2 linked regions of the Alligator mississippiensis genome follow. The main gene of each other region encodes a partner of the protein of the gene in region 2 in a complex. Links are inferred from orthologs where the notes say so. Each region holds a gene or a part of one and is shown on either strand. Other genes may lie near its edges. The genes, in order: CRY2 and PER2.

Region 1 (15,482 bases), on a different chromosome or scaffold from region 2:
TGGCAGAAGCAATGAGGAAATGCATGGCCAGGAAAATGAAGACCTCTCATACCCAGTCCTCATCACTTTCCTGCCTCTGCTGTAGCAGATTGTTCAAGGCAAAGATTGGGTTATAAGTCACCTACATACCCATGCAACCTAGCCTCTGCTCCTGTCCTCTCTCTTCCCTCCCTCTCTTTTCTCCTTTTTCCTTTTTTCTCCTTTTCTCTTTTCTCCCTCCCTGTATCTTTCCCATTTCTTTTCTCTCGTTTTCTTCCTCCCCTGCTGGATGAGGTCGTCTTTGCCCACGAAGGACAACACTTGTTTTCTAATTGGGGAAAAATAATAAAGCAATTCTGTTGCAGAGGTCAGAAAGACCATATCAAGGCAGAGCACTTTTGACACTATAGGCTCCTATTTGACACTTCCAGGTTTTATCTTGTGAATGGTGTGTAGGTGCTTGTGCACTTACCGGTGCTAATATTGAGGGCCCTCCCATGGCACTAGTAGCATAACTAGAAGTGGGTGACAGGATCACCCACCCCAGGTGCTAAGTTAGGAGAGCTACCAGAATTGCCCCCACCCCTGCAGAGTCCATGCTCCAACAGCAAGAACAGCCCCATGGCTTACCCCTGCCGGGAACTCCAAAGCAGCCCAGGCTGCTGCTGCTGCTGTTTTAAGATCAACAGCAGAGGCAGGCAGAGCACACAGTGGCGGCAGAAACACTATCCGGGGACTGTCTGAGTGTTCCTGGAATGGGTAGGCTGTGGGGCTGCTCTTGCTGGCAGGACACCCCCCTCCACCACCACATGCCCCCCTCCAACTCTCCCACAGAGTTTGCCTAGGGCTCCAACCCTCCTTATTAGGCCTCTGTGCAACACCCTTCAAAGGATCTCGCCGCACCCCAGAGTGCCACAGCTGACCATCACTGTTCTTCATAAAACTTTGGCTGTCTGCAGACTATAATCATGTAGGAGCTCTCAGAGGTTAGCACATGCGGTGCCCAGTGGGCACTGAAGTGGGGATACCAGGATTCATGCTTATGAAGAGAGCAATAACAGGAAGAGAAGTGAGAGCTGGAGGTTAATAAGTGCCCGGAGGAAGACACTAAGCAGAGCACACTGGCCAGCACCCACTGGCCCTCAAATGAATCCAGGGAGCCAGTAGACACTGCCTGGTGAGACTGCCCATTGACACGTAGACAATGCATAGGGGGAGCATGGGGGGGCACATGCCCCCCTGACAGGTCTACCGCCACCACAGGCAGTGGCGCCTGCGGGAGCTCGCCAGCTCTGGCCCCACCACCAATGCCTCTGGCAGTGCCTGCAGGTGCCCCCCAGACCCGGGAGGCACCAGTTGCCCGTGCAGAGACATGACCAGATGCGGGACAGGCCTGTTTGTTACACTCTGGGGATCCAGGGCTTAGGCCACCAAGCACAACGTCTCTCCTGGAAAGGGAGGCCCTGGGAAACCTCGCAACCGATTCCTCGGGACAACGAGAGTCGTAACAGAGAAGACAAAGGGTCAGAAGTTAGTAACCAGCGCTCCAAGGCAGGCGACACCCAGCACAGCACACGGGCCGGCATCCCCCGGCCCTCGACCGGCACCACGGAGCCAGCAGGCGCTGCCCGATGAGACTCGAGGCGGGAAGACGCCCCAGCATCCAGGCGTCAGCAAGATGCGTTGACCTCCTCTGGGGTCCGAGCCGGGCCGGCCTCCCCTTGGCTGGGCGAGGGCCGGGAGGAGGGGGGCCAGGGGCAGCGCTGACCGCAGGGCGCCCACAGAAAGGTCACCCACGAGAGCGGGCCCGGCCCGGCCCGGCCCGGCGCGGCGGACCCCGGGCATAAATGGGCCGGCGGCGGGCGGGGCCGCAGCAGGAAGCTGTGCTGTTCCGGGAGGCGGCGGCGGCGGCGGCGGCAGCAGCAGCAGCAGCAGGAGCAGCAGCAGCAGCAGCAGCAGGGACAGGTAAGCGGGGCTGTGGGGGGATCAGGCCGCGGCCCTTTTAAGCCGTGCCCCAGCAGGCTGCGGGGCGCGGGAGGGGGAGGAGGGGCTGGCGGGGTCGGGCTGCGGGCTGACGGCTGGACCATGAACAGGGCGCAGCTGAAGCGCGCGGGCATCCTGCGCATGGCGCTGAGCGGCGCCGCCGACCCGCTGCTGCCGGCCGAGGAGGATGGCAGCAGCCGCCGGGAGCCGCCCTTCGCGCTCCGCGCCGCGCGCATCGCGCTGGTGGTCTGCCTCTACTGGGCCATCTCCATCACCATGGTGTTCCTCAACAAGTACCTGCTGGACAGCCCCACGCTGCGCCTGGACGCGCCGCTCTTCGTCACCTTCTCCCAGTGCGCCGTCACCACCCTGCTGTGCAAGGGGTTCAGCCTGCTGGCTGTCTGCGGCCCCCCGGGCACGCTGGACTTCCCCTCGCTGCGCCTGGACCTCAAGGTGTCACGCAGCGTGCTGCCCCTGTCCCTCGTCTTCATCGGCATGATCACCTTCAACAACCTGTGCCTCAAGCACGTCGGTGTGGCCTTCTACAACGTGGGCCGCTCGCTCACCACCGTCTTCAACGTCCTGCTCTCCTACCTGCTCCTCAAGCAGACCACCTCCCTCTACGCCCTGCTGACCTGCGGGGTCATCATAGGTGAGTAGGGCCCAGTGGTTAGGGGGCCTGTGGTTGAGGGGTTGAGCGAGTCTCCCTCCATGTCCGTTCTGCAGAGCAATACCCAGCGCATGTTATGTAGAGCTCTGTAAAGCTGCATCACTTTATACAGCTCTGCCTGCCCCCATGAGCTCTCCCTGCCCCATGAGACAGGATGATCCTTTTCACGTTTCTGCAAAGGGAGGTGTCCGTGAGCCAGATTTGTCCGAAGTCGGACAGTTCATTGGTGACAGAGCTGACCTAAGCTGACCTCAGGACGTGGAGCCCCAAGTGCCTGACATCTAGTGCCATGTGCTCACAGCCTGCAACTCAGTTGTCTTGCCTAGCATAGGGGGATGAATGGGATTGTCATTCTAGCCACCAAAATACCCCTGGCCCTCACCACCGCATTATCCAAGTGCCTCATTCATTATTAAATATATTCCCCATGGGACAGAAAATACCACATCTCCATTTTATAGATGGGAAACTAAGGCATGAAGACTGGTGATGGAGCAGGAAATTGAATCCAGATGCACTGGCTTAAACGCAAGACTATTTTTCCTTTTTGTTCTTTCCATCTGTATAAAAAACTCTTATGTTACTGTAACTTCTGGCCTTTCTTCCTTGCTCTGTCACAGACACACAGCCTAACCTTGGGCAAGTTGCTGCACATCTCTGCCATGTGTGGATAGGATTCATCTTTCATAAACTGTAGAACTGCACTGGCTGCCTTGCCCAACTAGTCTTCACCGAATTTAAGTGCTAAATAATTGCAACCTACTCTTGTGACTGAAGATGAATCTGTTAATATTTTTACACGCACTTCCTCATCCTCCTATTTTAAATTGTTATATGAGTGCTTTTTTCCACTCCTGTTCTGTTACTAATTTGGGCAGCACTAAAAAACTTTGGCTAGTACCATATGGAGTAAGGACCCAGCCAGTATGAGTTTCCTGTATAGGAGAAAGTGTAAGATAAACAGAGTAGGAATAGATGTCAAATGATTGTAGTGATGTAAGGAATTTAAAGGAAGGCTGTGGAACTGGCTGACTGGGACATACTGGGGAGCTGAGTGCAGACCTCTAGGCCCTAAGCACAGATAAGAAGGTCATTGCCATTTGAGGACAAATAGGAGGCCTGAGGTAAGTTAGTTGGTCTCAGGTATTCACTTAATCTCTACAGAGGCAGGCCAAGTGTTGTGCGAGACTTCTTCTATCCCTGGTGGTTGAGATGATGGAGCAGACCTATCTGTCTCAGAAAGATGTTTAGCCATTTTGACATTTGAATAATGGGAACAGCCAGCTCCAGCTGATTCCAGGTTTGGGTGGCGGACAGTGCTATAGGATGTACCTTTTGCCAAGTGTAGTTTACTTGATGGATTACTCTGAGCCTTTTCCCTTGGGTTTTACTCTTGCCACGTGGATCCTGCCCTAGCACATAGCAAGACAGGTTGCTTCCCGGTCCTTCTGCCATCCATATGCAAAATGTTTACGTACATTGAACCAAACTTGTATGGTTAGTTGGGGGTGTGAGATAAAGTACATGTGCTTTGAACTATTCTCTTACGCCACCATTCTGCAGTAGGGAAAAGGTGCAGGTATGTGTGCTCACACAGGTAGTCATCCAAAGTCATTGCACAATTCTTTGCCCGCCCTACGTAGCTATTTGCTTGCTTTCATACACGTGCACGTGAGCCAAGACACAAGTGCATCTTGTAATGTAGACATGCCCTGGAATGCATATCAAAGCAAAAGGAGCCTCACCTTTCTGTTTCTGTTCAACCTCAAGCCCAGTCCAGTATGAAAGAACTAGACTCCCCCTCCTGTCTTCAGATATGGAGACTTTAAAAATGTAAATGTGCTACAAGCAAGTAGTTGCAGGTTCTTTCATCCTTTACTTCCTTATCAAAGCTGGAGTTCAAGCTTTCATTTTTTCCTCAGCAGCTGATGACCTCTTACACATTCCTTTCCTTCCTGCCTATGTGGGGAATTGTCAGTCAGTGTTGCTAAGGTGAAATGAAGCCCATAGCTCAGGTCCCAAGAGAAACACAAAGGACATAGTTACTTTCCAGGTAACTGGATGCAAAGAAGGCTTCACACTCAGCTTCTGCTTTAGAATCTTTGGACTTTTGCTCAAAGGTCTTAGTTTTTGTGACATGCATACACTCTGCCCCGACCACTTTCTCCCTGTTAAAAAATGCAGCAGAGGCTGTATGGGTCATGGAGTCTGAATTTCTCTCCAGGGCAGGTACTAGTGAGGTTTACTGTACCACTGAATCTAATGTTATGTCTATATTTAACTTTTTTTTTTTTTTTTTTTTTTTTTCAAAGATGCCTTGAAAGGACAAACTAGGGTACTTATCTCTTTTCCTCCTTGTATTTATGCTGGAGAAAGGAAGCCTAGCAAGCTCCTTGGAGCACATGTCGTCTTTAGTTTTGTGGGCTTTTTGGTTGGGGTTTTTTGTCACTTTTGGCAGCCTGAGAAACTTGGTCCCTTTCTAGCCTGAACCTGGAGAATGGTGAGATATCAATATCCCTAGAACAAAGATAGTGAAAGTTGAGCAACTGAGCTGGTTTCTTTTCTGTTTCTTTTCAAGCCGAACTATAACTTTGGGTAATACCTCTCTTATTACAGTGATGGATTAAACACTTGGAAAGCTATACATCTCAAACAAAATCAGACAGAACGCTTCTGACTCCTCTTCTTAGGGTTCAAACACGATGAGGGGTACCACTCTGACACTGCCTTTGTGCTCTGGGTTGCTTTTTGTCTTCATAAGATGGGCAATCCACAAACATTGTTTGTTTATTTTCATTTTTTATATAATCCTTTGTCAGTTGGTTTATAAATGCGATTTTTGTATGTAGCATTTTGGTCTTTTTGTCACTTTCTGGTCCCCCTGTCAGTATGTCACCAATTTTGTCTGCTTTGCAGGTGGCTTCTGGCTGGGTATAGACCAGGAAGGAGCAGAAGGCACCTTGTCATGGACCGGCATAGCCTTTGGGATCCTGGCAAGTCTTTGCGTTTCCCTCAATGCCATCTATACCAAGAAAGTTCTGCCTGCTGTGGATAGCAGCATCTGGCGTCTGACCTTCTACAACAATGTGAATGCGTGTGTCCTATTCTTGCCCCTTATGTTGTTGTTTGGTGAGTTTCATACCCTCTACCACTTTGATAAGCTGGGAGACCCCAGCTTCTGGGGTATGATGACCCTCGGTGGAGTGTTTGGTTTTGCCATCGGGTATGTGACGGGACTCCAGATAAAGTTCACCAGCCCACTCACCCATAATGTCTCTGGAACAGCTAAAGCCTGTGCCCAGACAGTTTTGGCTGTTGCCTACTATGAGGAGACCAAAAGCTTCCTGTGGTGGACAAGCAACATGATGGTTCTGGGGGGATCCTTTGCATATACATGGGTAAAAGGGCTGGAGATGAGGAAGGTACAGGAAGAATTGTCTCCAAAACCAGGTGAGAAAAGTGAGACCGGTGTCTAGCACCTCTGCTGCTGTGTCTGTGGAATGGAGCTTTGCTGGAAAAGGAGCCAAGAGCAGAAACTTCCAGGGCAGAAAATCACGAACTTATAAAATGCATGAGGCGTTTGTCTCAGGAGTTAAAGCCAAAGGCCTACCATATATAATGGTTTCTGCAACGAGGGATGGAAGGATGCTATTTCCAGAGGAGTTCATCCTGTTTCTTGAACTGGAAAGGGGGTGTAGGAGACAAAGGGCTTCTCTGTGTTGGTGCCTTTTTTAAACAGCTGTTACCATTGGTAACTTACCAATTGTGCACCATATGGAAACCCTTACTGTGAGGAAGGGGGAAACAGCATTTTTGCTGTGTAGCTGGGAATAGATATTGGCAGCCAACTACATGGTCTTGAATACAATGATATCCTGCACCTAAATATAAGGGAGGGGAACATAGCAGTCTGGGCAGCCTGGCTTCTACACAAATGTTCCCCCTATTATAAATGGAAATAGCTGTTCTTCCCATTCCGGTCCTTTTACAAGTCACAGGTGGAAAATCCCTTCACTACAAGTTCTGAGTGAATCTAGCAGAAGGACACACCTCTGAATTTCTTGTCTAAACAGCCAGTAACTCTTCTGGTTGAGATTTCTCAATATAGTTTGCTACCTCTTTTCTGCATCCACAGGATATGTGTGTCCCAAGAAATCATTACAAAGGAGGGACCAAATCTTAGTCTCCTTTCTTGAGACTGGCAGCTTTCCTTGTGTAGGTGGGAAGGATGCTGGCTTTTTTCACATGAGGTTACTGGATATTTGCGACTCTGTCTTTTGGAGTAACTAGGTCTCTGTCCTTGTGGGTTTCTGAAGTATTTTCCTTTCTGTGGTGAGGATCCAAAAATAGCCAGTTGGGGAAAATCAGACTTTTATAATTTTCTCTTCCAATACAGGAAATAAATAATGCTTTCATTAATTAGGCCAGTTTCAGGCTGGATTATTGCTTGCCTGCTATGGCTGCCTTCCTGGGGACCTTTCCTAGAAGATTCACTACAGAACTGATGCTTAGGCATGGAAAATGCCATAATTCCAGTTCAGTGACAGCACGTGGGGATAAAAGGTAAATGTTTTACCAAGAAATCCCAGGCCCTATCAGAAGGGTGAACAGAGCTGGTGCAGAACTTTATACTCTAGCAGTCTCTGCAGTGTCAGACTTGTGCAGGAACCTTTCCCTCTCCTGTCCCATCAAGTGCCATCTGAGGCTGTATTATACAGTCACTTTTCTCTCCTCATTCCTCCAGGTGTTGACCTTCATTCCCTACTGTTCTAGCTTTATCTAAACCCTGAGTCCTCTCACATCCAAAGATTATTTTAAGTGGGGTGTGCTGGGAGCTGGTATAACCTATTCTCAGTATCCTCTGAGTGATCTTAAATAGCACCAGATTGCTGCTATGAAAGCAATCTGACTTTTTTTTTTTACCTTTGTCCTTGCTAGCTAGGTTTTTCCTAAATTTCAGGAAACCAAGGTCACTGGAATTCTAAATTCAATTTGCCTTGTTAATGATGGTCTCCCTCCCCGTTTTTATTTCCTTTGGTAAAGGGTGGAATTTTTCCCATGGTTTGAGTTTTCTACTGGGATAGATTTTAGAGTTGCAAACATTGACCTGTGATTGTAAAACATATTAAATAAAATTATGGATTGGTATCTTGAGGGTGGTTTCTTCTACAGTGTTGTCAAAGGTTCAAGGGAACAGTGGGCACAGCAGTGCTCCTAGTGCAAAGGAGATTGCAAATTCTACTTCAGTTCAACAACAAATCAACCCAGATGATGGTGATATAAAACATTTTTAAAATGGTGCCCACGTGAGGGGAGAACATTGACTTTCCAAGCCCATTTCTAAAATGATTCAGTTAATGGTACCGTTTGTGGGTTTTCACAGGGTCTGGCTGAGAAGTGAAGGAGGCATTAGTCCTGTATTACATAATGGATAAATACTGATTCTGCCTGGATTTCAGTCAACATATTCTCCAATAGGATGCCGCCAATAGGGGAGGAATGTGAAGAACAGGTTCTAGTGAGTTTAATTTTCCAAGGAAAGTGTGATTGTAGTCTGTGTCCTGTAAAACAAGACCTGCTCTTGTTCACCCCTTGTGGTGCTGCTTCAGGGTATGGCTGTGGGTGCCCCTTTTCCCACTTTGTTGACAGGCAGTCACTTTGCTAAGGACTTCATCTGTTGGTAGGTGATATAGTCCTATATCAGTGGTGCACAAACTTTTGGCCAGCAGGCCAGATGAGCAGTGTGGAACTGGTCCATAACCAGATCAGCCCCCATGCAGCCTGTATGCCAGGATTGAGCCCTGGGGCACCATACTGCCCCTGCAACCAGGACAAGGCTCTAGGGCCCTGCATCACCCCCACCTGCCAGAATCAGGCCCAGTGCCATGCCTGCTTGTCCCCATGTGCCAGGATTGGGCCCTATATTACCCCTAACTAGCTGGGATTGGGCCCTGGAGTCCCCACCCCACACAGTGGGATCAGGTCCCATGCTGCCCTGCTCCCCTGATACAGCATGCAGGGCTATGCTATCTAGCCCACAGGGCTCCTAATGGATCCAGAAATTGACAGCAAGGAGCAGTGTCACCATTCTCCTGCTGCCAAATTTTCAGAACTGGAGAGCCCTGCAGGACAGATGACATGACCGGGGGGGGGCTGAATCTGGCCTGCGGGCCTGGGTTTGAGCACCACTGTCCTACACCAATAGAATCTGGAAGCCCAGGTGTGGCCCATGTGGGATGTCACCCCTCCCCATCACTCCCATGTGCATGCACAGTAAGGCTGCTGCAGTGTCCTGTGGAGCCAACTGGATGGAGAGAAACATGCTAGTGGCTTACAATCTCAGGCTGCCCCAGCAGAGGGGCTGTTGTGGAGAAATACCCTGTCCCCTTTAGGGATGAGAATCTCCACGGCCAATTTCTTCCCCTTCGTGCCCTCCATGCCACCCTGCTGAACACCTCCCACCTGCAATGGCAGGGGCTGGCTGCCTCTTGCTGGAGGAGATACAGCCCTGACCACACCAGTTCCCCTGGGAATAGGGAGGTGAGCTGAGGACAGGATGTCTCAGCCAGGTTTGCCCCTCTGGCTTCAGCTGGGGCTGTGTCCAACGGCAGCGGCCTCCCGAGGCTCACACCAGCCATTGCTAATAAAGGAGGCAGGGAATGGAGGGAAAATTAGACACACATTTATTATGAGGGGGAGGCAAGTCTGTGAGGGGAGATCTTGGACCCAGTGTATGTTATTAGCAGTAGCAATCATCATCATCATTATTGATATTATTATTAATACTGCTGTTATGTATTTATTATTACCTGCTATTCATTAGTGTTGTTGTTATGGACCTAGGGTCACCATCACAGAGGACATTCCAGTTTTCTGCTACTCTGTCCTCTATTGATATGAAACCCAATGCCTTTATGTAGAAAAATAGGGGACAAAAAGGCGTCGGGTTTCGTATGGACAGAGGACAACCGGCCTGTCCTTTTTGATGGCCACCCCATAAGAGCCCTTTGTCAGGCCTGGCCTGTCACGTAGGACCGGGGAGAGAGAGACACCACTACTGAGCGGGCCCACCTTTAAGGAGCGAGGCCGCTTTAAGGAGCTGGGGAGGGGGCGGAGCGGTTGCTGATTGGCAGCAGCGCCGCCCGATGAGGCCCAGGAAGCCTGTTTCCCTCCGCTACCTCCGCCCCTCCCACTGTACAGCTTCGTCAGCGCGCGCACCACCCCCACCCCTCCGCAAGCCCCGCCCCACGCACGCGGCAGGAATGTGCCACGTTAGTCCCGCCCCGCCCCGCGCCACGCTCGGCAGCCAATGAGCGGGCGGGGCGGGGCGGGGCAGGGCCTGGCGCCGGCGCGGTGGCCTGGCGGGCTGGGCAGACGGCAGCAGGCTGTAGCCATGGCGGCGTCGCGCTCGTTTCCGTCCTCGGTCCCGGCCCGTGCCGGCCCGTGCCGCGCCGTGCACTGGTTCCGCCGTGGGCTGCGGATGCACGACAACCCCGCGTTGCAGGCGGCGCTGCGGGACGCCGCTTCCGTGCGCTGTATCTACATCCTGGACCCCTGGTTTGCCGCCTCCTCCGCCGTGGGCATCAACCGCTGGCGGTGAGCGGCCGTTGGCGGTTGGCCGGGGGGGGGGGGTCTCGCGTCGACCTGTCTGCGGGCCGGCAGTGGCGCGGGACTACCGGCGCCAGCAGCGCATGCGCGCACTCCCGCCCACGCCGCCGCTCTCGGCGCGGGGGGGGGGGGGGGGTCGTGTCCTGACGGCGGGGGCGTACTCTGTCCTGACTGCTCGTGTCCTGACGGCGGGGGTGCACGCTGTCCCCAGCTGAGACCGGGCTTAGCAGCGCGACCCCGGTGCGCAGGTCGTGCACGTGCCTTTTATCGCAGCCTGGTTGTTGGGGGTGGGGTTGGCCCCCCGGGAGGTGAGAGAGGAGAGCCCCGCCTCTGGCAGGCAGCTGCTGAGCTTGTAGCGTGTGGCGCAGATCCCTTCTCGCAGGCCAGTGCCTCGCCCGCTCTGCGCACTGCGCCACAGGCCCCTTGCGGCGCGTGGAAGGTTTTGTTTGGATGTTAGAAACTGCTTTCTCATGAGGAGGGTGGTGAAGCACTGGGACAGGTTACCCAGAGAGGCGGTGGGATCTTCGTCCTTGGGGGCTTTTAAGACCCGGTTGGACAGTACCTTGGGAGGGATGATCTATTTGGAGATGGTCCTGCTTCGAGCAGGGGCTGGGCCAGATAACTTACTGAGGGCCCTTCCGGGTGAGGGCTCTCCAGAGCAGGAGTTTCCACCCCTGCTGGATTCATAACAAATGCTGCCCCCAGTTGATTGAGCTGGAAATGAGTACGGGATCATTTGGGCAGGAAGGGCCTTATGTGTTATCGGTGACAGCAGCTGGGTTGCCTTAATCACACACGGCTACTGCAGCGGTCTCTGACAGACCTTTGATCTTTTTGTGACCTTAAAGGAAACTAAGCTGTTAGCCACTTGCTGTCTTTTGATTAGTCAGGAGATTGCCTTTAGGAATAGAACCGGGTAAGTTGTCTGTCTCTTATTTCACTGAAATGAAATGTTGATATTGTGCCCAGTACTGAACAACATAAACTGGAGACCAGCCATCTCCTAAAAAGCGTTGGGGTCTGAAAGGCCTGAACAAAGTGGGATGGGCTGGAAAGCCTGGCAGAGGGAGTAAATGTCTGGCATAGCTTTTGGAAGTCATTGCTATGTAATGCCAGCACTGCACCTCTTTTAATTAGTAGCTCCTTGTTCCACTGGGCTAGAAGCGCTGCAGTCCAGAGCTGGCTTTGACCCAGCATATGGGATCATAGGTGTTTGCAGTGGGGAAAGCCCTGTTAAATCACATCTACTTAATCATGAGGGGCCAGTACAGGATGTTCTAAACCCTAATCTGAGAGATGTCTTGGCTGCCCTCAGACATCGTTTGGCTATGTTAAAAGGCAGCAGGAATAGGACAGGCTTTGACCTGGATAAGCAAAGTCCTACAATATTGCCCAACTCAGTAGGGTGTGGTGTAAATATATCCTTCCTGAGTTAGTTTGTATTTCCATTGGGAGTGATACTTTTTAACATACAGTTTAAGGATATGTTGCTGTGGGTAATTTCTTTTCCTTCCCCAAATCTCCCTGAGTGTTGGAACTTCTGAAGTGTCTTGATTTGTTTGTATGGAATTGGCTTCCCAGACGCTCCAAAACTGTCTGTTCAGTAAGAACCTTGCATTCGACCTCTGAGCTCCCTGGATCCTCAGTCCTTGGATTTTTACTTGGCTCCGTTCAAAATTAATCCCATTCTGCACACCAGCCCAAGTGTAGCCTTTCACATCTCATTTCTGACATGTGGGAAGCTACCTTGGACTCTAGGTAATGTTATCGGATTTTCTTAATCTGGTAGAGTATGGGATAGGTGTAGCTAGTATATGGTTACTTTGGAAAACATTTCTTCTCCAGCTGCTTTGCGTAAGTTCTTGCAGCCTCAAGAGTGGCATGCCAGCACTGAACAACACCCTGCCTTTGCCCTAGGGCTGTTGTGTGCGTATACATGTATGCACTCTTGCTTCTTCCCGCCCCCAAGATTCTTATGGAAATATATTTTGACTGCTTCTGGGAGGATAGGGGTGGAGGTGGAAAGAGCTCTGTTTGCTTTCATTCCCCAGCTGCAGTAGTGATGGAATGTAGTGGATCTGTAAAGCCTTGCTGAGAGCAGGAATCTGCATCCCAGTGGGCAGCTCTGGTTGTATTATCTGAGCATTACGTAATGCTGATGCACCACAGTCATGGCTGCCAGCAGAGTGGAACGGCCAGTGCAGGTAGGGATTCTCCTTCACAAGGCTGCTGTATCCTCAGGCAGGGCTTCCTCTCCAAGGCAAGGGCAGGCATAACCTGATTTCTGTTTTCCCACCCTGCCCATGGATCAGTTGCAGGTTTCAGTAACACCTTCAGGTACATAAAAAATCATGTATATGAGTGTGCAGGAGATTGTTGAATGGGTTTATTGTAATTGCCATCAGTTACCCATGCTGTACATCATCACTTAGTCCTTTAAGGGAGACAACTACCACTAAGTACTGACTTCTGAAAATTAATTTTAAAAATATTTTATATCACAACTCTAAGTTTACACATGTGCTAGAATCACAAGACATGCAGAAATTCAGCTGCTCACAGTTTTGTGTAGAATCTGTTCTTTAACAGTCCTGGAGATTGAAGTTATCTATTAAAAAATAGGTGCAGTATTAATAGCAGAAGGGCAATCTTACTCTTTTACACATGTTGCTGTACTAGGAACTCACTTCTGGGGTAGAGGGACCACAGCTTCATTTGTCCCTCTGCTCTAGGAGGGACCACAGCTTTGTTGGTTAATCTCTGACCTAGTCATTCCTTGGTTTTCCCATTGACACAAGAGGGAGCAACTGTGTTAATTTTATTGTCTGCATTGCAGTTGTGCCAAGAAGAACCCCTCTGGTTCCTGTAGAGATCATCAGAATGTATGCACCCTCACTGTCATTGAAATCAATAGAAGTTAGGTGCCTGAGTGATTTAGATGGTTATTTGTTAGGAGTTGAACAAACTGCTGTGACCCATTTCACATGGGCCAATGAGCAGTCTCAATAGGATTATTGTTTCTAGCTGAGACAGTTTGCCAGCCAGACTCCTTTAACTAGTTATGAGAAAACACTTTGAGACAGATAGGAATTTTTAGGAGTCCACAGTTCTCCCTACAGTTACAGCTCCACAGTTAGCATCTGAAATAAATGCAGTAGACTGTTCAGTAGAAAGGTGCTATGTAAATACATGCTTATTAATCGGAGCTCAGCTTTTTTCTGTGTAGGAATGCTAGCTTGTATTTTGCTCAGTTTTCTGCTACTTGCTTTTACTGACTCTTTGTATTACGACTTGGGTATAGTGACCTGGTTTCCAAAGGCAATGTATTAATCCATGTTTTACCTTTCTCCCTGAAACTGGGAACTATTTATTTTGCCAGTATGTGTGCTATGCTGTCAGCAGTAGCATTTGTGTTAATCATCAGAATGTCCTGGTGAGGTAGGGAGTCAGTATTTCCATTTTATAGGAGGGGGGAGTAAGCTGCTCAGAGTAGCACAGCAAGAAAACAGCAGAACTGGTAGTGGACCCCAAGACCTCCCATCCTTGAGGCCACTGCCACTTCTTTCCTCACAAGAAATGCATAGACAGGTTCCCTGCCCAATTTAAAGTATGGGCTCAATGGACAAACAAGTATTTCACTGACACTAAGCGGAAAAGGGGAGGGATAAGGAAGCTCCTGGTCTGAGACAGAATTGTAGGTTAGCTTTGCTGCTGCTTGTAACTAGCCCCAACCTAAATTAATTGAGGTTTCTTAAAATGCAGACTCATGTTTTGTGGATAAGACTGCAGAAGTGGGCTTTCGGGTATAATTTGACTGAAAGTGAGGAGAGGTTTAGCTTAAGGAAGGGGTTCCAAGTTGACAGGAGGCTCCACAGTCGCCTTATAGAGGTGAAAGTTTTGTTAAAGCTGGAATCATTGGCAGCATTAAACAAAGCAAAAATAAGCCAGGTCGTTAATGTAGACTGGAGTTTGGTTTGTAAGGCCTTGAAAGGAAGCAGAAGCAGCTTGAACTTCATACAAAGCACAATGAGAAGCAGAGAAATATGCGAAGCAGGCCGATGTCTCAGTGCTTAATGAGAGACGACTTTGGCACCAGTCTTTTTTTCTTTTTTTTTTTTTTTGGAGGGGAAGGGGCAGTTTTCTAGTGGGAGAGAAAGCCAAGTTAGTATCACATGAAATGAGAGACTGTGTAGATAAAAAATTTGGTTGTCAGTGTCACAGTGGAATACAAATCATATCATTTTTGCAAACATGCACTGTACTGATAGTGTTTCCCTTAGAAAGTTTGCACACTTCAGAGACCTTTCGCCACCTCCTAACAGGGAGGAATATTTCTGTCTACTTTTCCACTATAATATAGCATGTACCTATCAAGAACCATAAAAATGGGCATTTTTGGTGGCAAGAATTCTTATGAGTGATATCTTTTATTGGACCAACTGCGTAGGCAAGCTTTTAGGTATCACATTGCCCTTCTGCAGGCCATTCTTGGAGAAATTCATGACTTTCCAGAAATATTCCCTTAAAACTAGGGATGGGGGAGTGAGAATTTATCCATTTCATATTTAAAATCTCTCAGTGCTCCAGGATTATCATCTGTGGTAAATTCCACCAGCTGGTCTGCTCTGTAAACTCCTGTACATAGACAGTGCCACATCTATGGAGCTCCAGCTTGAAGGAGGCAGTAACTGCCAGATGGTTGCTCTTGCATTGTCAGTAGTCATTTGAAGTTGAAGGGATTGCAAGAGTGTGAAGGTGCTGAAAAAGTTTATTTGTCTATGCAGTGATAGGGAATTAACTGGCATTCTGGTGTCCTTGTTCTGTCTATTTGATGTTGGGATGAGTTAAACTCTAGGTAGTCATACTTCCTGGCTTAACCTTTAGCCTGGAAGGAGTTATTGCTTATAATGTTGCTGGAGTTGGGGGAGAACCTGCCATGCATATCTGTAGTCTTATGAACTGTCATCAGTCTGTCTTGTTTCTCCTCCACAGGTTTCTACTCCAGTCCCTGGAAGACTTGGACAACAGTTTAAGAAAACTCAATTCTCGCTTGTTTGTGGTACGGGGTCAACCAACAGATGTCTTTCCAAGACTCTTTAAAGTAAGTCTAAATATGCCATCTGTACCTTGGTCAGTAAGTCCTATTGTATTTCACTTCTTCTAGTCGCTGATGGTCCAGTCAGATCTAGAAGGTCTGTGTTCAAGAGAGCTAACTGGCAGGATGACCCTTTGTGAGGATTTA
Region 2 (15,424 bases):
ATTCTGAGGCATGAATGACACTTGTAATATCACCTCCCTTTTGGATGAAAAGCAGATGGGAAGTCTTTGTACTCAATAAAATTGGAGAAGCAAGGTTTTCCAACCAGAATTACCGGTGCTACCTGTATGCAAATTTTTATAACATTTTGATGCGGAAATTAAAGGTCTATAACAAAATATCTTTGGTCATCTTTGCAACAAGGCAAGCCATTTGTTTCCTTGGCTTGTGATCCCATAGGAAAAAAAAAAAAGACTATACGAACTTGCAGTTCAGGTAAGAGATGGACAGATGTATCATTAAGAGACAAAACTCCCTTACCAAGGTATAGTCCTGGCATTACTTCAGTCCAGCTATAGCAGCATAGAGCTCACTCAGCACTGCAAAACCTCCTGGAGAAAAAGTAAACTAGCCCATGGTAAACTCTGTGCTGCCACAACTAGACTACATCGGACTGATCTCAGCTCCCCAATCAGGCAGTTTAATAGCTTGGGTACATCTACAGAACCACAGGACTGGAAAGAAACTCAATGATCATTTAATCCTCTGGATTAGACGCGCACAAAAAGCAGGGCTCTACTGTCAAACTGAGGACATGGCCCTGATGAGATGTTGATACTACTCATAAAAAGGGGGCTACAAGAAACCATGTCCTAACACACACATTTGTTTGGCCTTGGCTCTTCGCAGCAGAGGAATATCTTCAGGCAGGTACTTAATCAGCAGCAAGTCAAAGGAGACTTGAAGTATCCAATTATTTCCCAGTTAGGGCACAAAGAGTAACTATGAGGAGGAGAATCCCAGACAGCCTGGAGACCATCTTTTTCTGTCCCCTGTATTTTTTTCCTACAGCTAGGAAAAAAAAATTGCCTGCCTGAAGCTGAAGAAGAAGACAAGAGAACAGTCTGTTTCCCAGGGAAGCCACACCTTCCCTACCACTGAATGACATATTTGATCTGCAGCCAAGGCTGCACATAGGGCATCTCCAATTTAATAAATCAAGGGACTTCATTATGAACAAAAATGAGTTTGAAATGGATATTGTAATGGCGGTGAAAAAGTTCTGGACCCTTAAACATTAAATCAAACAAAAAAAATGTAACATCATCATATTCTCCCATGTCAAATTTCCTTTGCTACCTTGAATACAGTGTAACAAAAAATAAAACTGTAATACAAAGTCCAGCACAGGTAGACAATTCTCCCTCACACACAGATGAGATCAGATAGTACATCTAATAACACAATTCAGCTTCTAAAATGTTCAAGCTACTTTTCAGAACCAACAGTGCTTCTTGTGTATACTCTGCATGCAGAATCTAAAATTGCAACATGGTAACCCCTGCCCCCCCAAAAAAAACCCAACAACAAAACCCAAAATAACCCTCTATGGATTTACTTCATTGAATCAAAATCTGAAGGACAAGTTTTTTATAACATCTGAATTGTTATGTTACTATGCATTATAATTACTAGGTAACCAGGCAGTTCTGGAAATAGGAACTTTTCTATAGTATAATATTTGGCACAAGCACACAACAGTTTCAAATGATCACGCTGTTCCCTTTTAACATGGGCCTATTAGAACAGCTCTTGAGACAGTAGTGTAAAGGTACTGTGAATTAAACAAATGACTGACCGGAAAAAAGGTGCTTTGTGTTACTGAAAAGCTCTTTTTAGACTTCTAAAAGTGCATTTAAACAAAACAAAATGAAAACATAGAAAGTAACTAGTTTCTTTTAAATACTGTATCAACCTAGACTATGCAATTTAGACTTTCTGGTCATCAGATAAGAAATCAGAGAAAAAGCCAGGTCACATTCAGGATATATCCACACTTATTTACCAGTTTTTAGCTAAGACATTAAACAAATGAAATATAATTCTATTCAGAGGAAATCATCACTATGATGAGATTAAGTTTCTAATCAAAACTCAGACTGTCACTCATTTTAGTAGCACCCAAAACACCCAAATGGGATCTAGCAATAAAACGACCTCTGCTGGGAGACACAAGCCTCTGCTTTCTTATTTACACTTAAGAAATTGGCAGAGTTTTAACAACAACAATTTTGGTCACCTTCACTTGTATAACAGTTTCCGTGAAAAGTTAATTTTAAAGTTTAATTCAAGGGAAGGCAGACATTAATTCCTAGTACTTCTTGCACATGCAGACACAATTTTAATAACATATTTCACTATTATTTTTGAAGAGGTTAACACATTAACTGACAAATAACTTAGTTTATGTTTTAACTCCTGGCTTTTTAAAGACTTGATTTTTATACCCTATTGAGGCCTACACTCAATACTTTCTTAACTCTACTAATAAAGAATCAGGATCCAAGTAAAGCAAGTCTTTGCTGGTATGACTGAACCTGTCACAACAAGTTCTGGTCTGGCAAAGCTCCACATCCAAATTTTAACTTACTTGCATTTCAACACACACTTATGGCCTCACTGTCAAAATTATCATAGTGTCCTTGAGGATTTGTCCTCAACATCCTTTAGAAGCAGACGCAGAGCTATTTATTGCTTTGAGTAATGTCACCTGCAAACATACTCGGTGGTTCAAGACACACTGACAACTGAAATCTAGTCAATTTATAAGTGTAATAAAAACAAACAAACAGCCTAAGATGCCACTCAAGTCCTTTCAACAAGTTCCGTTCTGGAAGCCCTTACAGGTTCCTTCTCTTTCTATTTTATGAGGTCTACATGAAGTAGATGAAGAATAGCAAAAATGAGTTTATTAAATGATCAAACGCACACAGACAATGCCCCCTTCCACACTATTTCAGTAATAATAGCATTGTGTGTTATTTGAAACCACAGTAAACAAAAACAAAGCCTTATTTTTTAAAAAGAAGGACCTTTGTGGTAGAAAGGAGGCAAGAGGTCTTTTTTGTTTATTTAAGTATGAAACACCCTGGTCATTAGATTACTGAGTGAAAAATAATAAATAAAAAAAATGCAACACACTGGTATGCATGGCAGATAAATGCATAATTCACTAAACTGCATTAAACAATGCCAGTCCAACTTTGTTACCTACAGCTTACATCAAATTAATCTGCATATCTGTTAACTATATAAATGGCTTCTGTACACAGAATCCTTCAGTCATTGTCTACTCTGTAACTCCCTGGTTCTCAACAATGGTAGCAGGAGGCTCCTTTTAAAGGTACCAAACAGAATCAGCACTGTATAGTGTGTAAATACCTACACAAGATGGCATCTGCACTATCAACCTCTGGTAGACAGGCTGTGGCTCTAGAGAAGGGTGTGGAAATCAAACGTTGGCCTTATCTATGTTAAGTCTCATCCCCTGGCCAATCCACCCTCTCCTTTCTCAAACCCTCAGATCTGGAGAAAGTACCCTAGTAAAACACTGCTGCACAAGGGAACGGACAAAGACCCATCAGAGATGTGGCCAGATTACGGCTCTACCCCTGACCCCAGGCCCTCACTGTTACTACCTCATGATCCTGCCCTGTGATCCCAGCTCTGCCTCCTGCTTGTCCACAGCCCCATCCCATCTGCCCAGCCATTTGCCCTGCCCGCACAGGTCCCACCCGCAATGGTGAGTGTGGGGTGGACGGGCTGGGGTGCCCAGGTCCAGGTCCAGGGCAGTGACAGCCAGGAAGCATGTCAGGCCACCACACCACCCCAGCCCTGCTGCGCACCTGGGGGCAGCAGTATAGGCCACGTGCACTACAGCTTGGGCTGCCCCCTGCCCCTGGGACAGGCAGGACAGAAGGACCCATTGCAGGCAGAACAAATTCCCTTGGCAGACTAGATATAGTCCATGGGCAGTATTTTTCCCACCCCTGACTTAGACCCTCTGCTTTTCAAGGTACTTCCTATCATAAACAACTGGTGCCTCCTGAGACTGGGGGGGGAGGGGGGGGAAGGGCACCACAGCAGCAAGCAGGGACCACCTGCAGGTGCCAATAGCAGTGTTGGCAGCAAGGGGGGTGGGAGGTGGTAAGCGGGGACCACTCACAGATGCTGGCGAGGGAAGGGGTGACGAGCAGTGACCACACAGAAGCCGAAGGTGGCCAATCTCAGGGGAGGGGCACATGCCCCCCATACCCCCTTTACACGTCACCTATGCTTCCTATGTTGTTTGTACAGTAACTGGAATAATGAGTGGGTCCTCATGGGATGCAGGGGAACACTCATAATACAAATAAGTGATAAAGGCCAAGTCTTCTGTGCACATAGATGTCCCCTCACTTCAAAGTCTCTGGCTTCACAGACAGGAACAACTTTGAAATCTGCTTTGTGTTAACAGGGCAAATTCCCATTCCTCAGACTAGAAGCATAATGTTTTAAGGCCAGGCTTCTGGCTTCACTTAGGTTTACAAAACCACCACTTCGCTCAATGATTCTTGACCAGGCTGCTGTGAGATCCTTTGAAGGGTGTCACACAATATTAGCACTCTTAGGTGTGCAAACACCTCTGTATGAATCAGAAAATAAACCCAGATTTAAAATAGGAATCTGTAACGCCCAAAACAATCCGACCTACTGTAGTCTCAGCTCTTTACAACAGGAGAATCGCTCTACTTTTCCCTCTGCAACCTATAAGTTCATGAAAACCAAGAGGGCTGCCTCAGGAATAATAATAAAAAAAAGTTGAGAACCTCTGCTGTCATGCAGTCACATCCTAACCATTATTGTAAATGCACTCCCTATAAGCACAGTGAATGGAAAACAGCTGTCAAGCAATTCAACCAGTTGAAAGTGAGGGGCTGGTTTCAGGATGGCAAACAGGCCAGCACTGGCAGTGCCCTGGGCTTTTAAGCAGCATTCGTCTCCTGCTCAAGCTCGGGCCAGGCGGTGCATGCAGCAGTGCCGCACGGCGAGGCCCGGACTAACCCGAGTGCCAGGCGGCGCCCGGGGAAGCGCTCACACGCGTGTGACCGCAGAGCTCGGAGTTACGCGTTTTAGAGACAAAAACACACGGGGCAGCCCGAGCCCTCGGGAACTTAACAACGCAAATTTCCTTTGACATCCTGCTAAGCCAGCGTCTCGGCAGAGCTGCTGCCGCCCTCTGCCCGCACCCGGCGGCACCATCTGTCTGAGCCGCTTCCTTCCCCGAGGCGACGGCGGGCGGCAGGACCCACCCGACTGCGCCCGGCGCTCGCACACGCGGACAGGCTGGTTAGAAAGCGCAGCAGCGGGAGCGGCCGCCCGCGGGGGACAGAGCATCTCCAGGCCGGGAAGGACGCGGCCACTCAGCCCCGCCCCCGCGGCCGAGCCCTCCGCAGCCCCGCGCCGCCTCTAGGGCGCGGACCCCCAGCAGCGGCCGCGTGGGCCCTGTCGCACCCCGACCCCGCGCCCCCAGGCAGGCCCCGCTCCGGCCCGGCCCGGCTCCGGGAGCCCCCGCGCGCACTCACCAGCCCTCGCCGCTCGCCACAGATCCCACTTCATACAGTCAGAAACGTGACCGCGGCCACAGAACCCGCCCCCACGTCGCCTATTGGCTCTGCCGACGCCTCATCTGCATGCGGAAGGGGCGGGGCTGGGCCGCCCCCCGCCCCCATTGGCTGCGGGGAGTGTCCTTCATTTTACATAAGCCTCACGTGCGACACCATGTTTCCAGGAGCGGGGTCAGCGCCGGAGCGTCCCCTCCATCGCACCTTCCTTTTCCGCCCGGCCCGGCCCGGCCCGGCCCGGCTCAGCTCAGCTCACCCGCGCGGGGACCTGCTTGCGGAGGTGGGGGGCAGAGCAGAGCGCGGCTGGGGGGCAGGGATTACGTCACGGCCTTGGTGGCCCCGATAGGCCCCCCCCCTGCTGTTACTGACGTCTCGGGCGGCCCCGCCTCTCTGCCCCTCCGTTGCTTGGTGACCCGGGCACTGGCCCGGCGCCGACGCGGTCCCGCGGATGCAGGTGCGGTGCGGTGCGGGGCAGCCGGGCCTGGCCGGGCTCCGGCCCCTCAGGGACATGAGGCAGAGGAGCTCGCTCGCCCGCCCCCGCCCCGCCGCCCGGGGCCAGGCTCCCTCCAGCCCAAGGGCAGCGCGGCGGGTGAAGCAACAGCAGCAGCAACTGCTCCGGAGCTGCGGACACACACTCGTTTGCCGGCAGCAGGAGGGGGCTCCGGGCCCTTGGGCCACGGCCATTGCTCCCGCCGTCACCCGAGTTTGTCGGCAGGGGCTCAAGCAGCTTGCCTGCCAGGCTGGGGTCGGTCAGGTGCAGGATCAAGAGTTTGCGGGAGAAACAGGCAAGCTCGTGACTCTGCCGCACCCTGCCAACTATTCACAGTTAGACTCAGTGAGGTAGACCCTGGGCTGTGCCCCAAAGCTTGTTAAGAACTTTATTCCAGCTACTCCATTGGTTTAATAATATCCTATCTCCTCAACGAACCGTGCCCTACTGGGTCCACACACTGAGACTAGAAGTGCTCCTGTCTGCAAAGTTACAAAATGCAGCCCTCTTGCGGAAGAGCAGGGTTCCCCCTGTAACAGGTCGCCCTCCCCAGGGCCATCTTCTCTGGTAATCCGCACCTTACGTGGGGCACCCTTGGAGTCTTCCTTGAAGTTCTTATGTCCCGCCCTCTTCTCGCCTGCCACGTCTCGATAGAAAATTATGATGATGATGTTCTTGCGAGCGGGAGACTGCCTGTCATACTTTTTTGTATGTTGGGGCCTTTTGTCTACATGGGCCTGACCCTTGTCTTTCTCTAGCTAGGCCTCCCCGTCTAAACCCACCACACAGGGTTTGACTCCAAGGCTCTAGCCTTTTCCAGTGTCTTGTGGCTTGTGACCCCCTTTCCTGCTCCAATCTAGAGGCTGGCCCCACTGTCCCAGAGGCCCAGCCACCAGCCCCACAACCAAGGGGGCACAAGCTCAAGGCCAGGGGACAGCCCCAAACTTGCACTCTCCCAGTCCAACAAAAAAATAAATAAAATTGCACCCTAGGTGCACCAGAACTCCCCAGTCTTTTTAAGATCATGTTTTCAGGTGCCAGGGTCAGTGCACCCTAAAATCCTACACCCCCACTAGCACCGGGGTCTATGTACCCCCAAAAACCACGTCCTCACTGGCACCAGGGTCTCCGCTCCATAGTGGGCCCCAAAAAGGAGGCCTCCTCCTTCCCCTAATAGCCTCGCCCAAACCACTGGTGTTATTTGATAACCAAAAGAAAAATAAACAGTCCCATCCCTGGGCAATATCTGCCACCCACAAATGTGAGTAAGGAAAGCGGTATGTCAGCTTGCATTTGCAGGGTTCGTGTTTCAGCTCCCCACCATCAGCTCCAGTCCTTGCTGCGGTGCGGCTGTCATTTCTCTGGGGCTTCCATAGTTCCCCTCTTCCTGGCTTTGGACTGCCCACCAAGCCTCTTCCTGGAGCTCTGAGATGCTCTCCTTCCCCCTTGGCTGCTGGCCTTCACTGCCACTCTGCCCAGGGTTATAGTCCTGGCCTGCCCCTTCTGGTCAGCTGACTAGCTGGACAGGTTCGGCCTTTAACCCCATTCCTCACCAGTACTCCACACCCAGAAAGTTCAGGCCTTAAAGGAGCAGACCTGTCTTCGGGTGACAGGGCTAGGGTTCCCTGTTACACCCCCCAGTCAGCATGTGGCTCATCTGCTGTTCAGTTTACACCTTGTCAAAATAAATTGTGTCTTAAATACAGATTGTGAAGTGTCCAGCATTCAAGGCTTTGCTCATGTATTACTTCAAGTTACCTGCATTTAAATGGGCTGCTCATTTAATTCCCCTTAGCAGGTAGAACACACCATCCCTTCCATCTCCTTAGCTGTTGCAGATGGAGAACATGAGACTTACAATCACGTAGGAGCCCAACAGAGGTGCTGCCTGCCCTCTTGGTCCCCATCATCTTTGGAGGTTGGCTGGAGTTCAGAGTGGCTCAGAGGATGAATGACATACACAGGGCCTACTCCCACAGATTCATAGAAGTTTAGAGCTGAAAGGCACATTGTGTAAATATTTACATCTGTGAAAAGAGAAGTGAGCAGGTGTCTAAGACTATCACCTGCAAGAGTGGAGCAATCTGGTATGACAGCAGTCTTTACGCTCACTTTCACAGGTGGAATGGCTGCATTAGTTGGGCAGCAACAGAAAAAAAAAATCAACCAGTACTTTCAATCTCTGTCTGTAACATGAGGTTAATACTACTTCCCCACCTCATGAGGGTATTAAAGCTAAATTCATTATTGTGCATTAGGTGCTCTGATATTTCAGTAATAAGTAGGCATTTTCTATGATATAAGTAACATTCTGTAATGGATTTAATTCCAAAGGACAGTGGGAAGCACAATTTCTTCATCTAGGTTTGTGTGGATGCAGAGGTATACCTATGCAGATCTAATTTTTGGTTTGTTCTCAGGTAGATAAGCAAATATTAACTAAAAGTTCCGGAGAGCATGCCTATGTTAACGTGTTGTGGGAACTTTAACTTCTAAATGTCTTGGTCTGTGTGAACTTAAATCCTCAGACTTAAGGTTACTTTAAAGCAGTCAACTTTTTGGGGAAGTAGAGGGATATTTCTTGCATGGAGCAAGCTTGTTAATAATAGCTTTCCAGACATCTAAAAGCATCACTAGATCATACTAATTTTAAAGGGATGCCACTCAATTATTTTGACTTCGGCTATAAACATCTGAGGAATACTGTCCAGTTTTAAACTCCTCCCTTTCCCTTTATGCACTGCCTTTTGTCGCCGAATTATTTAAAAGTAAACTGAAAAAAGTCATTTACTACTTTAAAATATGACATATGAGTCTCCTCTTGCTTTGCTGCAGAGTGTACTAAGTTTGGGGTAGAGTCTCTTCCCACTTTAGTTTTCTAAGGGTTTCAACCACTCATATCAATACAGGAAGTTACTCCTGATACACTGATATATAATAATGATCAATCAGGTCCATTATTTCTATAGCAGCACACATTCCCTGCTGATATCATCACCAATTCTAGTGCACAGGCACAGAAACAACCACATTGGCTCCTTTCTTACTAGAAACACAGTCAAACAAAATGGTTGCTAAATAAAGCAGGACAAAATAGTTTTGTTGTAATGTCTAAAGCCTTGATCTTCCTAACACTTTCACATACATCTTATGTTTTGCAACTCATACAAGTAAAATTAAGAATGTGTGCGAACAGAATCAACATTTTACATTAAAACAAAGTTTTGAAGAACCTTACTAAGTGACAGGCAATTTTATTTCCCACCTTCGTCTACTCTGTTTCAGAGCTAGGGTATTCCTTAAACATTTTAATAAATCTCTAAAAGAACAATACTACATGTGGACACTGTCAGTGAGTCAACATTTCCATGAAAGTCTTAAAAACAAAGTTACATCGCTTTCAGGTTGAAGCCAATTTATAATGTGTCAGATCTCAGTGTCCTTCACAGAGGATCTTTCATCTACAGTGTGACTCTAGCATTTGTTCATCTCAAAGTATTCCATCACACCATGTAACGTTATGAAATCACACGCTGACACCACCCACAAACAGTTTTTCTTTTGTGAGAGTTGGCATAATCCTTTACTATGTCCAACTTTCAGTTCTACTGGAGGCCCCCAAGGTCATGTGAGGCAGACTTCTCTGCCTAAGCAGGACTTCATTGGAGTCAAATGACCTTACTCTGAGAGTAGTAGTCCATATCACTACAATTTACTGCAGGCTCAGGGCCTAAGATCTTATCTATTTTACCATCCTCATGCTATATCCCTTTAACAGCAGAAACAGCATAACTAAAGTTGCATAGCTTTGGCAATATCCAGAAAGCTGTGTAACAACTCTCTCCCTGGCAGTTTTTTTTCAGTGCAGAACCCTTTTTTTGGCATCAAAAAGATTAGATAGTACAACTGGTCTTTTTTCCCCCTTCAAATGCAAATTTTGTATTCTGAAAAACAGCCTGTTTCAGAAACAGACATTATTTGAAAAACCTTTCAACGCTATCAAAACTTTGTCATAAGAAAATCTTGCTTTGTCTATATTTTAACATTGGGGTGCCCAAATTAGTTTATCAGAAAACCCAACTCAGTTTTGTTTTTGATACATGTCAACATATTGTAAATACTGTGAACATTTTAGAACCAGTGGAAATCAGCAGTTTCAAGCACTTTGGAATGAAGTCAAGTTTGAAATGCTTAAGCTTTTTGCAGAATTACTAAGGGCTTTTTTGTATCAGCTCGATTAGCTAGTGAAGACAAATAGGCTTATTTCTTTCAAGTAACTGTCTTCTCATCTATTTTGTTACTTTCAGTACTTTCCATGTAATTAATTTTATGACAGCACTGATTGAAAAGAAACACTGTTCTTGAGCTTGGAATTTTTTAACTGAAAAGATTAAAGAAATCCATATTTTTCCATATTGTTTCCATATTTTTCAGATGGAGTCATCTCATTCTTTATTTTCTAAAGCTGCCTAATTACTTCACCTACTCTCTTCTCACTCCTTTCTCTCAAATTTGTGGTTACTCTCAATATTCATTGACTGCTGATAAGGTTCAGAGATCCAAAACGGCCTTTTTGCTAATGAGCAAAATACATCAAGATTACCAGTCCCATAAAGAGAAATGAAGGGAAGGCTTTCTCCCTATCAGTGAAAGTCTGTCAGGTATTTTGACCCCATATTAGGGTAGAAAAACTATCAAACTAATTAGTCATTCACATTTAGAGATACTTCCTTCATACATTAAGCATACCTGAAGTGCTAAAGAGCTCCAACTCAAGCAGCCGTCTCTTAAGAAGTGCTCCAACACAACCAACTGCTTTTTGAAGATGCAGAACTGGTGTTTGGTTTCTTAGAGGACTCTGGGAAGTGTAGTTTTCCCCTCTCTGTACTCACTGTTTTAAATTCTTAATTTTATTTGTTGACAACTACAGTATGTAAGAAAAAAGAATAAACCAGAAGAAACTTGAACTCTTCTGTTTGAAGAATATTAGAAAGATACATAGAATATTAGAATTATATGGGTGGACCTTACTACTGTAGTAACAGGACCCCAGTTCCTATAATATACAGTACCCCTTCAACTGATCTAGTAGCAGGGTATTGCACCAAAGGCCCTGAGACCTTGCAAACTTAATTGTGCATTGTCAGATCACTTTGTCTGAGCGGCACCATACTGAAAACAATGGACATGATGTAAAGTTATACATGTGCTTAAGGGTTTGGAAAATCAGGGCGAGAGAGCAAAAATTAACTCTTAGGCTCCTGGTCTCTGCAGTAGAATCCACTGCTGAGCAAGACATTTAAACCCCTTATACATTCATGGAGGAAGTCAGGTATCTTAGAATAGACTTCACAACAGACAACATGCTGAGCAGATGCTGACAAAGGTAGCTCATAGAAAATGATGGAAGGGGAAGTAAGTCTTAAATTTAGCCCTTGTTGTAGGGGGGCTTAGACATCTAACTCTGGACTGCAGGCAGGCACATCTGTCAGACTGGGATTGCCAGCCTGAAACTTCCTCCATCCTTTTCAAAAACACAGGAGGGGTTCTCTAGTCCTTTATATGGCAGAGCAGCTGGTGCCACATAGATTCAATGCCCCCCTCACCATGAGGCTGTCCATTCCAAATCTGTCACATTCCAGGGGAGTGCCCTAACCTATCATGGGGCAGGATGGGGAGGGGAAGAACTCTGTATGTTGCCCATTTAAGCACAGCCACCTTGCAAAACAGAATTTACAATGCATTGGATGAGGGAGTGAGAGCATAATTCTGTAGCAGGGGTGGGCAAAATATGGCCTGTGGGCCAGATCTGGCCCACCAACTGATTAGAGGGGGCCTATAGGGGGTGCCCACCAATTGATCCAGCCCGCGGCTGCCCTGTGACACTCCACATGGGGCCAAGACCCCCTCCTTCCTCTCCTCACCTGGCCTACTCCCAGGACCTAGTGCCCAGACAGATCCCCACCCACACATGTGTACACATGTGTGTGCCCAGGCAGCCCCCCACCTGCCCCACAATCCCACCCTGGGATCCCAGCCTCCCCTGCCTGTCTTGCTCCTGAACACTGTTCTCCACCCATGGCCCCATCCCACACAGGGAGTTTTGGTGAGTTGTTGCAGTGGGCGGGAAGTGCCGACCTGGCCTGCGACAATTTGTCAAAACTCCCATTGTGGCCCCTGGGCCCAAATAATTGCCCACCCCTGCTCTATAGACTAGTGATTGGTACACTCATCTGGAACACATAAGGCCTGGGTTCCTGCCTCTGCTCAAAGCACTATTTATGCATTTTCCCCCTCTTACTTTATTGGCTGAATTTTTGAATGAAAGGGGCTAGAGCTGCTGTGTGTGGAGCTCATTGTCAATGTGCCTTAAATGTGCTCTGAGTATACCCAAGATATCAGATTTACCCAAAGAACCTTGTCTGCCTACCAGATTGGGCATCTATGGGGATTTAGCCTGAGGATCCTGACTGGGCATCAGTGTGGAGATAGGTGCCAAGCTACTCAACCATGCTAAAAAGCCAGGGGATCTGAGCAACCTCAGAAGCAACATTTCAGATACCTAGGAAACTTGAATATTGAAAATGTAGGCACTAATATATATATATCAGACATAGGCGGCTAGGAGGGATTTTGAAGATCAGTCTTTGAATAAAGGATCTAAATCCTAATGTTGAAGATCATGTAATTACAAACCCTTATTTATACACACATGTAATTTTACTCACATGAATAGTCACATGGACCTCAATGAGACTATTTGTAAGTAAAAAATTCTGTATGTTCTTCAGCATTTGCAGGATGGGTGTAAGTTCAAACATGGTAATAAGTGAAAGTAGATTTTCATCAGAAGATATAGTTCAATTAAAACTGAAACATTTTGCAGGAATATGGTCACCTCAACAAAATGTTAGATGGGAAAATCAGAAATGTCCTTTGATAACGTAAACGTTAAATTTCCTTTGATAATAAACTTTTTTTTTATTTTGGTGAATTTATAACCTTATGTGATATGCATTTACCATACCATGTAAGTGACAAAAAGTGAATCCACATTATCAAAATAAAACAATTAAACCATGGGTTCTCATTCATTTTGGATTTGAGGCATCCATTGAAAAACGCCTGCTCCTAAGTTTTCAATCTTTTTTGAGTGCAGAAAAATAATAGAGTAATTCTGTTGCAAAAAATGCAGAAAGATCACAACAGATCAGAATGTTTTTAAAACTGGGTTCCTATTTGAAATCTATGGGTTCATCTTGTGAATTGTGTTTGTACGCCTAGCAATGCTAATATTGTGTGGAACCTTGTGACACGGGATTACAGGAAAGCAGGCCTGGAAGAGACCTCACAGTCCAGACCTCTGTTCAAAGCAGGACTGACCCTGACTAAACCATTCCAGGCAAGCGTCTCCAATCTGGTCATGAAAATTTCCAGGGATTGAGATTCCATGGTCTCTCTGCTCCAATGCCTAATCATCCTCATAGTCAGAAAGTTCTTCCTAATCTCCAATCTAAATTTCTTCTGATGCAGTTTGAGGCTTAGTCCTGCTCCTAGTCTTGTGTCCTATGGCCCCAGAGGAAAGTCCACCTCCATCCATGCATAAACCCTGAGATGGTGCAGAGTCACTTGGAGGAACTGGATGCCTTTAAGTCAGCAGGCCCAGATGAGCTCCATCCGAGGGTACTGAAGGCCCTGGCTGACGTCATTGCACAGCCACTGGTGGGAATATTTGAATGCTCGTGGCGCATGGGCCAGGTCCCGGAGGACTGGAAAAAGGCCAATGTGGTCCCCATTTTCAAGAAGGGGAGGAAGGAGGACCCAGGCAACTATAGGCCAGTCAGTCTCACCTCCATCCTAGGCAAAGTCTTTGAAAAAATTATCAAGGCTGAGGGGAAACCAGCACGGGTTCGTAGCAGGTAGATCATGCCTGACTAATCTAGTCTCTTTTTATGACCAGGTCACAAAACGCCTGGACGCAGGAGTAGGGGTTGACATCATATACTTAGACTTCAGGAAGGCCTTCGATATGGTATCCCACACCATACTGGTGAACAAGTTAAGAGGCTGTGACTTGGATGACTACACAGTCCGGTGGGTGGCGAATTGGCTGGAGGGTCACACCCAGAGAGTCATAGTAGATGGGTCGGTATCAACCTGGAAGGGTGTGGGCAGTGGAGTCCCGCAGGGCTCGGTCCTAGGACCGATACTCTTCAATGTCTTCATCAGTGACTTGGACGAGGGAGTGAAGTGTACTCTGTCCAAGTTTGCGGATGACACAAAACTGTGGGGAGCAGTAGACATGCCGGAGGGCAGGGAACAACTACAAGCAGACTTGGACAGGTTGGACAAATGGGCAGAAAACAACAGAATTCAATTCAATGAGGAGAAATGCAAAGTTCTGCACCTAGGGAGGAAAAATGTCCAGCATACCTACTGCCTAGGAAATTACCTGCTTGGTGGAACGGAAGCAGAAAGGGATCTTGGAGTCCTAGTGGACATGAGTCGGCAGTGTGACGAAGCCATCAGAAAAGCTAATGGCACTTTATCGTGCATCAGCAGATGCATGACGAACAGATCCAAGGAAGCGATACTTCCCCTCTATTGGGCTCTGGTCAGACCGCAGTTAGAATACTGCATGCAATTTTGGGCGCCACACTTCAAGAGGGATGTAGATAACCTGGAGAGGGTCCAGAGAAGGGCCACTCGTATGGTTAAGGGCTTGCAGGCCAAGCCCTATGAGGCGAGACTGGGGCACCTGGACCTCTTCAGCCTCCGCAAGAGAAGGTTGAGAGGTGACCTTGTGGCTGCCTATAAGTTCATCATGGGGGCACAGAAGGGAATTGGTGAGGTTTTATTCACCAAGGCACCCCCGGGGGTTACAAGAAATAATGGCCACAAGCTAGCAGAGAGCAGATTTAGACTAGACATTAGGAAGAACTTCTTCACAGTTAGAGTAGCTCCCAAGGGAGGTGGTGCTCTCCCCTACCCTGGGGGTCTTCAAGAGGAGGTTAGATAGGCATCTAGCTGGGGTCATCTAGACCCAGCACTCTTTCCTGCCCATGCAGGGGGTCGGACTCGATGATCTATTGAGATCCCTTCCGACCCTAGCATCTATGAATCTATGAATCCATCCTCAAATACCTTTTAGGCATTTGAAGACTGCTACCAAATCCCTAACCCCGCCCATCTTCTCTTCTCCAGACTAAATAACCCTAATTCTTTCAAGCCTTTCCCATAGATTTTGCCTCCCAGGCCCCCAGTAATTTTGGTTGCCCTGCACTGGACACTTTCCAATCTGTCCACATCTTTCTTGAAGTGTGGGGTGCAAAACTGGACACAGTACTCTAGGTGAGGTCTCAGCAGTGCTGAATCGAGTGAAAGAATCACTTCCCTTGATTTGCAAGTGACACTCCTGTTAATACAACCCAGGATGTTGTTGGGCTTTTTTGCAACAAGAGCACACTGTTGGTTTATAGTCTACTGCAGAGG

What was found.
Region 1: the proteins of PER2 (region 2) and CRY2 are in contact, whole or in part, in a crystal structure (PDB 4U8H), measured with the Mus musculus proteins. The link is inferred for Alligator mississippiensis from reciprocal best matches to the Homo sapiens genes PER2 and CRY2. Residues at the interface, in NP_035196.2 of Mus musculus: Tyr1132, Leu1134, Gln1135, Asp1136, Pro1137, Trp1139, Leu1140, Met1142, Ala1143, Asn1144, Thr1145, Ile1149, Met1150, Met1151, Thr1152, Tyr1153, Gln1154, Leu1155, Arg1158, Asp1159, Leu1160, Val1163, Leu1164, Asp1167, Gln1168, Lys1170, Leu1171, Leu1174, Gln1175, Ser1177; in NP_034093.1 of Mus musculus: Trp58, Ser63, Ser64, Val65, Lys163, Leu166, Thr167, Lys169, Arg170, Glu215, Leu216, Gly217, Phe218, Asn330, Pro331, Ile332, Cys333, Ile334, Gln335, Ile336, Pro337, Asp339, Asn341, Pro342, Glu343, Leu345, Ala346, Lys347, Ala349, Glu350.

The regions. Positions count from the first base shown.
Region 1 is NC_081825.1:226,428,886-226,444,367, forward strand, and holds the start of CRY2 (cryptochrome-2), read left to right. Parts: upstream 1-9,990; 5' UTR 9,991-10,025; coding exon 10,026-10,228; intron 10,229-15,232; coding exon 15,233-15,341; intron 15,342-15,482. Other genes in the region: SLC35C1 (GDP-fucose transporter 1), read left to right, coding at 2,065-2,614, 5,549-6,108. UniProt on the Homo sapiens protein: Transcriptional repressor which forms a core component of the circadian clock.
Region 2 is NC_081830.1:44,725,822-44,741,245, forward strand, and holds the start of PER2 (period circadian protein homolog 2), read right to left. Parts: upstream 5,477-15,424; 5' UTR 5,404-5,476; intron 1-5,403. UniProt on the Homo sapiens protein: Transcriptional repressor which forms a core component of the circadian clock.